Linked DNA regions of Oreochromis niloticus. The protein of the gene in region 1 purifies or fractionates together with the protein of each later gene. This does not show direct contact. Links are inferred from orthologs where the notes say so. Each region holds a gene or a part of one and is shown in the gene's direction. Other genes may lie near its edges.

Region 1 (3,754 bases):
ACCAGTGACAATAAGACGACTACCAGCTTTTAACATATGCAGTCTTGGGCACTGACAGTCGGCGACCTTTTTGTGTCTCCGAGGATCATTCTGCACCAACTTCAGAGATGGCAAACATTTACACAGATGCATGTTTTTAATTTGATCTTTCAGACTGCTTCAGACCTCATTTAGGTTTTCCAATGATTTCACATAGCCTTAAAAAAAGTTACTTGATCCTTTGTTATGGATATATTATTGAGCGGTTCCCTTCTTTGCATGATTAATATTCTAGACAGCTACTCCTGCTGTTCCTTGTAAAACCATAAATCCCAGTCCCCCAGTACAAAAGACAGGCCCAAGAGGTAAACAGAAGCGTTTGTCAAACAAGTAAAAATTTTTTGTCTTTACATATTTCAAGTTATGTTGTGCATACCTTACATGTAGAAAATAAAAGCCACAGTGTCATACTAACCTAACAGAATTACATAAACACTAAAAACTGCCAGTAAATATATTAATTCTCAGATGATTTTCAAAAAAATATTCTGCAGAAAAGGTTAAAAAAATATTTAATTTTGTTATTATGTGTCTATTTAAAAGAGACACTTTTTAGATCCCCATATATCTCCGCAAAACAATCTAAAAGGTTTTTATCTTTTCTCCCCATAGTTATTATTTTATTATATATAAATCATAATAAAGCTGGTTGTGAAAGAGAAATTAAATCTTATTGGGAGCTCAAAACCGGCAGTGCTGCTGAGGTGTCGTTCGGGCCACACGTGACTAAAACCGCATTCTTTTTATCAATATGCGCAAAAAACCCCCTGTACATACTATCTCCTTCCACTCCAGAGAGGAATACATTTAAAAAAAAGAATGGCAAATCCCAGTTCCGCCTTCTTTTTTTTTTTTATCAAACTATCTTAAAATCCAATTTTTCTGAATAAATGAATTTCCTGACCCCGTTTACCTTCACGCTGCGCCGATGCCGGCTCCCAAACGCGCGGTTGCGCTCACCCGGACCGTGCGATTCTGGCGCCACCTCGTGGAGAGCCAGAGCACAACTCCTGTGTGTCGTCTACCCGCTCAACTCTCGCGGTACTCTGGGGCTTTGCAACCTCACAATTTGCGTCTCTGCGCTGACCAATCGGCTGCCAATCAGCTGCGCGAGCAAGGCCAATCACAATATCAAGGATTTCGGCACCAATTTAAACAGAGTAATCACTTCCTGTTTTGGTAGTTAACACACGATAGAGGAAAGAAAGATAAGTAAATGAATCTTAACCATTTAAACATGTACATAGACAGAAAAGGCGGCTTAGGATTAAACTGAGAGCCTGTATTGGAAGACGCTACCCCCAGTTTACATTTACGTTGTCGTCAGCTGACGGTGACGCCAGTCCGGTAAGTTTTGAACGTTAGAATCGGTTACAAATCAGCATGCCGTCCCGGGTGGAGGACTACGAGGTGCTGCACACTATAGGCTCCGGATCATATGGAAGATGCCAGAAAATAAAGCGAAAAGCTGACGGAAAGGTGAGTAAAACACACTTCCCGCACACCTGTGGGTTAAACTCACCTGTTGCCCGTTAGTCCGCGGGGCAATATTGTCGCAGTCATGTTGTTTTTTCTCCCCCCACCTCAAGAAACTTTATATCAAACCGTTAACAAATGGCTACCTGCCTGTAGCGTCACAGAAATGTTTGAAAATTTAAGGTGTTAGCTTGTAATGTGGACCTTAGAAATGAGCAGCTTAACATTAAAAAGGTCGGTTATTAATGACTTAATATTTTATGTGAATTTTTATATTCACATAAAATATGTGAATATTTTATGATATCACCCTCAGTCATCACACCTGAATCAAATGATTAGTTCATTACCAGGCCTCTAGAGAACTTCAAGACATGTTGAGGAGGTAATTTAGCCATTTGAATCAGCTGTGTTGGATCATGGACATATCTAAAACCTGCAGGACACCAGGCCTGGAGTTCCCCCACTCCTGTTCTAGAGTAAAGACAAGTTGCCCAAGTTAGCTTTACTTTTCCATAGCTTCCACTTGTCTTCTGTCTACGACACTGGTCTTTATTGAAAGACATTCTCTGCTCTCTGATTCAGATAACCACCATTCTTTGAATTTTACCTCTGTAATTCTGGATAATTAAAAGCTGGTTTGTATCGTAGATCCTGGTGTGGAAGGAGCTGGATTATGGCACCATGGCTGAGAGTGAGAAGCAGATGCTGGTGTCAGAGGTGAACCTGCTGAGGGAGCTCAAGCACCCAAACATAGTGAGGTACTACGACCGCATCATAGACCGGACAAACACCACTCTGTACATCGTCATGGAGTACTGCGAAGGCGGCGACCTGTCCAGTCTCATCAGCCGCTGCATCAAGGAGAGGTGGGGTTGAATGCTAAATGATACTGAAGGTTGCATGCTGGTGTGTCCTTTCCCTTCACAGGTGTATGCATGTGTTTATTACCTTGACAGGCGCTATTTGGAGGAGCAGTTCGTCCAGCGAGTCATGGCCCAGCTCACGTTGGCCCTGAAGGAGTGTCACAGGCGGAGTGACGGCAGGGCCACCGTCCTTCATCGGGACCTGAAACCAGCCAACATCTTCCTCGACATCAGGCAGAACGTCAAACTGGGTGACTTTGGCCTGGCGAGGATCCTGAACCATGACACCAGCTTTGCAAAGACGTTTGTCGGGACGCCGTACTACATGTCTCCAGTGAGTGGCTTCATGCTGCTGGAGTTTGAAGCGTTTAACCTGAGCTTACAACTTTCCTTGCCTGAACTTTTGATTTTATTCTTGTTTGCTAATCTTTGTTTTACTTCATGATAAAAAAAAATAGGGACAAATAGCTTAATAAGCATTTAACACTATCTCTTTTCTTCTGTCAGGAACAAATAAACCGGATGTCATACAACGAGAAGTCCGATATTTGGTCTCTGGGATGTCTGCTCTACGAACTCTGTGCCTTATCGTAAGTTTTCCAGCTGTTCCGCTTTAGCTGATTTTCCCACTGCAAACTGTTTGGCTGCAGATCTTGCAGTTTTTCCTGCATTTTTCGTTTTCCTCTCCAGGCCTCCTTTTACTGCTTACAACCAAAAAGAGCTGGCAGAAAAGATCAGAGAGGGGAAGTTCAGAAGGATCCCGTACCGGTACTCTGAGGAGCTGAACACCCTGCTCGGCAAAATGCTCAACTTAAAGGTTGGAATTGAATTTATTTTTAAAATTTACACGATATGGTGCCTGAGCTATTGGATTATTTTAGACGGTATAAAAGATGGACTGCATGTCCACATCTGGAAAAGGGAATCCTGTGCAGAAATACTTCAAACCTTGCATTCTTTCTAACAGCCTGCAGGGGGCAACTGCTCTAGTTTTAGTGCTGTCCATGGCAAACTGGCCCTCAGCTCCCTCCCTAAACACTTTCCTCATGACTTTATGGAGTCAAGTGCTAGTTTTAGGTCATTGAATAAAACGTGAAGTTAATTTTATAAATTCTAGTTAAATGAGAACTCTAAGCACTTTTTACCACCACCCACATTCACCCATTCTCACACACATTCATACGGTGCCTTTAGGTGCTTTTTCTAACTTTCTCACGCTTGCTCACTCTCCGGTAGATCCTGAACTGGGCCAATTTGTTGTTCAGTATCTTGTCCAAGGACACTTGACATGTGGATTGCAGCAGCCAAGATCAAACCACCCACTCTACAAATAGGGCAGCTGTAGCTTTACCTCCCAAGCTACAGCTGCCCTG
Region 2 (3,754 bases), on another chromosome or scaffold:
CACGAATCCAAAAGGTTAATGCAACAGAGAATTAAAAGGTTGTTCTTTTGACACAAAATAATGAAAATGTGTTCCATAAATAAACCAGGTATACACCCAGGAAGTCAAAAGCTCCTGAGTTATTTATTACAGCTGAAGTGTTTCTGCTGTTTCTACTGCTGCACAAAAACAGACATGTTAAAACGTGCATAAATGAATGTGAACAACACAAAACAGTTTCTTTGCAATGGATTTCTGAAGATTAAGAATGGCTAAAACTCTTTAGTGTCAGTTTAAAATGGCTTTGCACATCTGTCTGCTTTTTTAAGTGCTAAAAACCGTTTGCTTCAGTCTTCAGTTGTTTTTAGACTCATTAAATTCAATCATTAAAGAATACAGACATAAAATTGACAAGTCTCTGCTTTTTTTAGTTGGTGTATAACAATACAGAAAGGGCCATGTGTTGCATATAACAATGACAATGACAATTTTATTTATATAGCACATTTCATTACATGAAAAGTCGACATGAAAATGAAAAAATATTAATAACTCTGTAGGTTTAAAGTGCCCTAAGGCAGTGAAAACAGCAAAGCAGAACAAAACAAAATTTAAAAAAATAAAAAATAAAAAAACAAACAAACTTATAAATTGTAGGACTGTGTGAATAGAAAGGTTTTTACTCAGTTTTTGAATGTACATACAAATGTAATTGGTCTCAAGTCAGCAGGTAGCTTGTTCCAAAGAATAGGACCACAATAACTGAACCTACCTTCAGCATACTTAGATCTGATTCTAAGAACAGTTAAAAAGTCTAAATCAAATGACCTGAGAGGTCACACATAGCATTGCAATAATCTAACCTACCTGATGTGAATGCATGGACCAGTTTCTCAGAGTCAGCTTGTGATGGAAGTTTTCTAACCTTAGACATATTTTTAGTCAAGGTAACCTTATTGATGGGATTATCAAAACTGAGATCATTGTCCAAAATGATGCCAAGGTTCCTGACTTGCTCACTGTGTTTCAGAGAAACTGATGACAAATAAGAACAAATTTTTTGTCTTTGACTTTTTGGACAAACAACAAGTATTTGTATCTTGTTTCTGTTCAGTTCTAAACACATTTGATAAATTCACTAGTCAATGTAATCGATGCAGCTCATTAGTTTGTGAAAACATTTTAAATCATCAGAGGAGAGAAGTGAGAAGTACAACTTTGTGCCATCTGCACTTTTCCAGTTGTCATTTCAAGTTTCATTAAATTGCGTTTCTCTCTTAGTAAATTTGTCCCTTGCTTTCCGCCGTCGCTCCGCAATGATTGGTTAAAAGAAAAAAATGGCGGCGTCCGCGTAGTTGTAAAAACATCGCGAAGCCGCCTTAAAATTAAAATTTCGGCGGCGCAAGACAGTTTGGAACTCACTGTGTCGTATTATGGTTATCATATTTCCCCGCTTGTAATGTCCTAAATCATAAAAAATATTATCCATGGCCTTCTTTCTGCATTAGCTTGCTAGCAAAACCGCTAGCATAATATCAGTGGAACAGAAAGATCTCATCTGTCAGCTTTAAACGGTAAGTGAAGCTTCAGATTAGTTTAGATTTAGGTTGTGGTTTAGGTTTAGATATTTTATTTATTTTTATTTTTTAATGCCTGGCTGTTTTTAACAGAGATCATAAGAAGTAACCTCATGAGGTTCAGGAACCTGTCAGAAAACTATAAAGAAATCTGATTTTTATCAGTCAGTGAATCTGTTTATCTTAATGCACTATAACAGTGTTGTTTAATATGATCTCCATAATCATATTAGAGGTCCACGACAATACAGATACAGATTTATGACAACTTAAAGAAAAGTTCTGAATCTTTTGACCCTGTGTTTAAGGGGATCTTTTTTGGCGTATGAGATCATTTTACGGGCATGGTTTGGCTCCACTTGCCCCCTTTGGCCTGGGTGTTAAGCATAACTCTCAAGGAACAGTAGTGACCCACTGAATGCCTTTGCAGTGGGTAAAAATTACAGTTATGTCAGAAATTACTGCAGTTTTTCAAAATAATCTGCTGTCCCTTTTTTCCTTTAGAAAGCTCAGCGTATTTTCAGATTTTGTTTCAGTTTTTTTAATCATAAAGACATTCAATTTTAAATTCAATTCAGTTTTATTTATATAGCGCCAAATCACAACAGCAGTTGTCTCAAGGCACTTTGATATGACACCCCAGTACAGGGGCCAGTTCAGTATTCAGCTGAAAGTGGTGTGAGTGTTGTGTAGTGGTTACCACATTCACCTTCTTTTAAAGCTCCCTGGTAAGTGAGAGCGTTACGTCTGGTGCAAAATCTGCCAAATCAAACTCGTGGATTCATTTTATTTTCAAGGGAGAAAGGGGGGCCAAAAGTTACCAGCCAGTGGTGTGATTTACACCTCTGCAGGCTGAATTTGATCTAAGAGGCTAATGCCCTGCTACCTTTTCTCAAACACCCCTACCTGTCTGCTTCCCGAAATACCTGTACAGAAACTGTGGTTCACTACAGAAACGTTTTCTTTGGACAGGTACAATGAGTATGTTATCTGCAGGTTATATTAATTAATAAAGCATTAATACTTCAAGCGCCGCTCCGAGCTGGCAGCGAGTATCAGCAGCTCCGACCTGACCGAGTCCTTTTTTCTCTTTAATTATTCTATATGTTTCATTTAATTTTTGCAGAGACGAGCATCAGTAAATAATGATCATTTAAAAAAAGTGCACTCACAAAAATGAATCAGGCATTAGTTACATCTATCTTAGTATATCTTATCTTGTGTCTTATCTTGCTTGAAACAGCCCACGGCACAAAAAATAAACAGAATGGTGAATCAATTAAAAAACAGCCTGGTGGTATCAGTGTTTAAGAAGGTCACTATACTGTATGTACTAACCTTGAATTTAAGGCTAAAAAGACAGCTGTAATATTGAGATGTTAATAAATCATCTAGTTATTTTATATATAATTTTTTTTCCTCTTCATTCTCTTATAAAAGAGACGACAAGGAACATGTTATAACTGGAAAAATATATCTACATGGAAATTGCATATATTTTTAAAGACATATTAGACTCTTTAGAATCTACATTTTAACACAAGTAACTGTAGTTTCAGAATGTATTTGTTTAGTAATTTTTCATTCTTAGCATTGATTTGCAGAGAAGAAATCAATGCTAAGGTACATTTAATGTGTTCTGGCAGCACTTGGTGGCCAAACATCTTACTAAGAGACCTGACTTTAGTTTTTCCTTCAACGTCAACAACACTAATAGTACAAATAATTAGCTAAAAAAAAATTGAAGCTGTTAATTAGTTAGTTTTCTGTACTTTTTGCAAATAACCGATTGATAGTAGTGTCTGATTTGTGAATTGTAATAATATTGTTGATCAGTATCACAGTGAAAAATGTATTTTTTTCAAGGGAGGTAATGAACATACTATTTGTTTCTGCTGTCAAATAAAGAGTTTGACATAAGCACAATAGTGTCATTCTTCAACAAAGGCTCAGCTGATTTTTTTGGCTCTGACACAAATAAAAGCAAAACTGTACAGAGAAAACGTTCACGAAACGCTTAACAAAAAATGTGTTTTCCAAGTATTTTTGAAAGCTGATATCTCTTATTTTTATTAACATTTTTTCAGCCAAGAAAATGCCTGCCTTTCGGCAAGTAGGAGAGAAGCAACTTCCTAACCCTGTACTGTGTATGGCATGGTCTCCCAAGAGGGATCTGATTGCTCTGGCCAACACAACTG
Region 3 (3,754 bases), on another chromosome or scaffold:
TACCTGAGTCCACCCAAGTAACAGTGCTTATTCAAGTGGTATCTTTATGGACAATTCTTAAGCAGGTGCGTCTCCAGAATATTTTTAAAAGGGTGGCCATATGGGGGCCACTAAAATATTGGGGTGGCACACCAAAAACAGAATTTCCAGTTTTATTAAGCTGTTGTCAAATATAGGTTACTTGAAAAAGATTTCCTGCTATTAAACTTGATATCACTGAAAACAGGTACATATGAAAACCAAATAATATTTTGAAATCCACTACTGGAAAGCTACCATGTGTACACATCTAAAGAAAATCAGATGATATATTAAGCTCACCGTTCTTTTGCATTAAAGAGAACGTGTTATACTCTTTTCCAGCTCCATTAACAGTTCAAAATAATCCTTATTCGTATAATAGTGGGGCTCACTGCTACCTTCATTATATTTCATCCACTATCTCAAAATTAGCATATAGGGTAGTCTGAAGCCTTTGTTTTTGACTCATATTTTAATATTAGATTAGCGACAATGTAAACTGTTTTAATATATTATAATTATATCACGTACTTTTATTACAGAATTTTGCAATAGCGTGATTTGATAAAATACGACAGTTTAGGTCAATAGTTGAAACAAAATTTCCAACTATTTTAAAAATAGTGCTGCAGCAAAAACAAATATGATGCATTCAAAGCTATCGCGACATGTGAGATTCAACAAATTTAGAATAATTAAATAAAGACGCCTTGGTCTGTAAAATATTTTGTAAAATGTAATTTCTCGTCCAACGTCCCTAAAATAAAAGTAAAGTCGATAAAATACTTATTTTACTCAACATCAAAGATTTCAGGCAGGTTTTTATTTTAAAGTTTTGAAAATATACGAGCTTTTGAAGAGCATTTAAACGCAGCACTATGCGGAAGGAAGGTCAGCCGTTGGACGTCTTATGCGTCACATGCTAGCTAACATTAGCCGTTCCAGAGCCCAAACTTTTAACCTGAGCCGGACACCTACAGCGAGCCTTTCAAATAATCCAAAATGAATGTAATAGATTATGTGCGGGATATGGCTGCAGCAGGCCTTTACTCTAATGTCCGGATTTTGAGTAGTTTGTTGCTGACGATGAGCAACAACAATCCGTAAGTCGTGGTCTGAGCGGGAACCGTCTAATTCCCGAAGACTGCTTTTCAATACCAGTGGTAGCGATACCCCCAAGCTAACTAGTCAACAACAGCTAACATTATTATTTCTACTGAAGCTTTTCATTATCCACTCATTATTGGATAGTGTTTAAATGCGAGTGCAATTTAAATTATATACATTGTTTACACTGTGTGTACTCCTTCACTATATAGTCGCATCTACAAGCGTATGCACTTAACAATGCTGCTATGAAATAGCTTGAAATTTAGCTAGTATTGTATTAGAAAACTTGTCGTAAATGTTCTCTTACCCAGTCATACTTTTGACACTCTAGAGTGACTGACTTAAAAACGGTAACTGTGTAGGACAATTTTTATGAGTTTGTGCATTGATGTTTTTTCGTGTGTCATTCAGTTTTGATGGTTTTCCTCAGTCTGAGCACTTTATTGTTTGTGTGTTGTTGTTTTTTTTAATGGAAGAGAGCTGTTCTCGCCGGCTCAGAAGTACCAGCTGCTGGTTTACCATGCTGATGCCATCTTCCATGACAAAGAGTATCGCAACGCTGCCTGCAAATACAGCATGGCTCTGCAACAGAAGAAGGTGCTCAGCAAAACATCAAAAGTTCGTACTTCAACTGGTGGAGCTGCCTCTAACATACAGGCACAGGTGTGTTTGACAATTTCCTGTAAACAAAAAACCCCTGAAATCTATAATAGCACTTTGGTCACCTGGGGGATTTTATTTTTTATTTTAAATTTGTTATAGAAATCTTTGGCTTGGCTTGGCTTGACACAGAATTGAACATTAGGGTTGCTGACGCCCAACATCTCTCCCGAATTTTTGACTCTTTCCATAGTAATTAAAAGTTGCCTTTCTCATTGAAACATTTAATAATTACATTTGATAAAGTTTGACTGGAGTAATGTAGATCCTTATCAGCCACTAACATTCTGGTAATTTGAGGTGTCTTTACCTGCAGTTGTGTTTTTTTTTGTTTGTTTGTTTTTTTAACAACACTAAAATCTCATTTTACTTTACTTTCACACAACGTAAATCTAAGGCTTTCATCCTGCCAGTGATTTATTAAAATGCCTTAAATGTAAAGATGGTTTTAGATGTCCTGCAGCACCACATGAATATCCAGAGCACAGGATGACTGGTTAGAATAATGTACATCTACAATGAATGTTGTCTTTCAGAGTTTGCCTTCAGAGATTGAGGTAAAGTACAAAATAGCTGAGTGCTACACCATTCTGAAACTGGATAAAGATGCCATTGCAGTGCTCGATGGGATACCATCCAGACAGAGGACTCCGAAGGTACAGTCTGTTAACACAGTGACTGTCAGTCACTGTTTACCTCATGCTTTAGTTTTATGTATTTATTTATTTTTTATACTAACTGATTAGACTAGTAACTGTGTGAATTCAAATAGTTGCTTTAGAACTAAATAATGAATGTACCTACAAGTTTAGGTTTGGTAACAATTCAGCAGTAGTTGTTTTAAAGTAAAATCACCTTCTAAGTAAAAACTAGCAGTATGAAATCTGTTAATTGGAAATAGTGTGACAGTTACAGTTTGAAGCCAAAGACTGGTCTACAGTCAAAAATACGACTGAAATGAATCTTAACAAACCTTACTAAAATTTGTTCACTGATGCTAAAATTTGTTAGTTGGTTGGTTTTCATGATATGCTAGGGTATTAGTTATAAGAACAGAAGTCATTAATTGAAATCAGAAATTACCTACATTCATTCTGACCCCTGAATTCTGGTAAATTTAGGGCCAAAGCAGTGTTGTGTACTAGTTTTCAGAACTCTACTCTTCCTAAGTTATTCGTCCAGTTTTGTTGAAATGGGGCTCATATGATATGGAACTGTATGAAGCTCTATTTAACCTTTTGAAACCAGCTCAAGTGCAGTAACTTGTATAAGTTGTAGTAATTACCTTTTTGCATTCCTTCCTGCCTCAGATCAACATGATGCTAGCTAACCTGTACAGGAAAGCTGGACAGGAGCGATCTGCTGTGACGAGTTACAAAGAGGTCCTCAGACAGTGCCCTCTTGCCTTGGATGCAATCATTGGTATGCATGTTCACCGTAGACTCTGTAATCTCGCAAGCAGCACTTCATCTGCTAAGATGTTTGTACCTGCAGTCCTCTCCTATGTCCATGCCGCTTTAAAACAAACTGTCTGCTTGGATTTAGCATCTCTTTTAAACAATTGAAAAATGTGTTTTTCCTTTAGGTCTTCTCTCTCTGTCAGTCAAAGGAGCCGAGGTGGCTTCCATGACTATGGACGCGATCCAGAGTATCCCCAACCTTGACTGGCTGTCTGTTTGGATCAAAGCGTACGCCTTCATACATGCAGGGGATAACCAGAGAGCTATTAATACCATTTGGTGAGCAAAGCAATAATGATTTGTACACAGTGACTGAATATTGTGAGCCATGTTTTGTGACAGTCTTAACTTCCTCCCTGAAACACTCTCAGCTCTTTGGAGAAGAAATCACTTTTGCGGGACAACGTGGACCTCCTGGTGAGCCTGGCAGATGTCTATTTCAGGGCAGGTGACACGAAAAATGCAATTCTCAAATTTGAACAAGCCCAGATGTTGGACCCTTA

What was found. The genes of interacting proteins can lie anywhere in the genome.
Region 2: the proteins of nek2 (region 1) and anapc4 purify together in Homo sapiens (affinity purification with mass spectrometry; 6 studies listed by BioGRID and IntAct, with this or other methods). This does not show direct contact. The link is inferred for Oreochromis niloticus from reciprocal best matches to the Homo sapiens genes NEK2 and ANAPC4.
Region 3: the proteins of nek2 (region 1) and anapc7 purify together in Homo sapiens (affinity purification with mass spectrometry; 3 studies listed by BioGRID and IntAct, with this or other methods). This does not show direct contact. The link is inferred for Oreochromis niloticus from reciprocal best matches to the Homo sapiens genes NEK2 and ANAPC7.

Annotation. Positions count from the first base shown.
Region 1 is NC_031980.2:13,554,110-13,557,863, reverse strand, and holds the start of nek2 (serine/threonine-protein kinase Nek2), read left to right. Parts: upstream 1-1,214; 5' UTR 1,215-1,422; coding exon 1,423-1,518; intron 1,519-1,922; exon of another isoform or gene 1,923-2,013; intron 2,014-2,166; coding exon 2,167-2,384; intron 2,385-2,474; coding exon 2,475-2,715; intron 2,716-2,888; coding exon 2,889-2,971; intron 2,972-3,071; coding exon 3,072-3,198; intron 3,199-3,754. UniProt on the Homo sapiens protein: Protein kinase which is involved in the control of centrosome separation and bipolar spindle formation in mitotic cells and chromatin condensation in meiotic cells.
Region 2 is NC_031986.2:37,126,131-37,129,884, forward strand, and holds the start of anapc4 (anaphase-promoting complex subunit 4), read left to right. Parts: upstream 1-1,289; 5' UTR 1,290-1,553; intron 1,554-3,643; 5' UTR 3,644-3,651; coding exon 3,652-3,754. UniProt on the Homo sapiens protein: Component of the anaphase promoting complex/cyclosome (APC/C), a cell cycle-regulated E3 ubiquitin ligase that controls progression through mitosis and the G1 phase of the cell cycle.
Region 3 is NC_031977.2:6,448,666-6,452,419, forward strand, and holds the start of anapc7 (anaphase-promoting complex subunit 7), read left to right. Parts: upstream 1-906; 5' UTR 907-1,023; coding exon 1,024-1,124; intron 1,125-1,607; coding exon 1,608-1,794; intron 1,795-2,327; coding exon 2,328-2,447; intron 2,448-3,101; coding exon 3,102-3,213; intron 3,214-3,376; coding exon 3,377-3,530; intron 3,531-3,622; coding exon 3,623-3,754. UniProt on the Homo sapiens protein: Component of the anaphase promoting complex/cyclosome (APC/C), a cell cycle-regulated E3 ubiquitin ligase that controls progression through mitosis and the G1 phase of the cell cycle.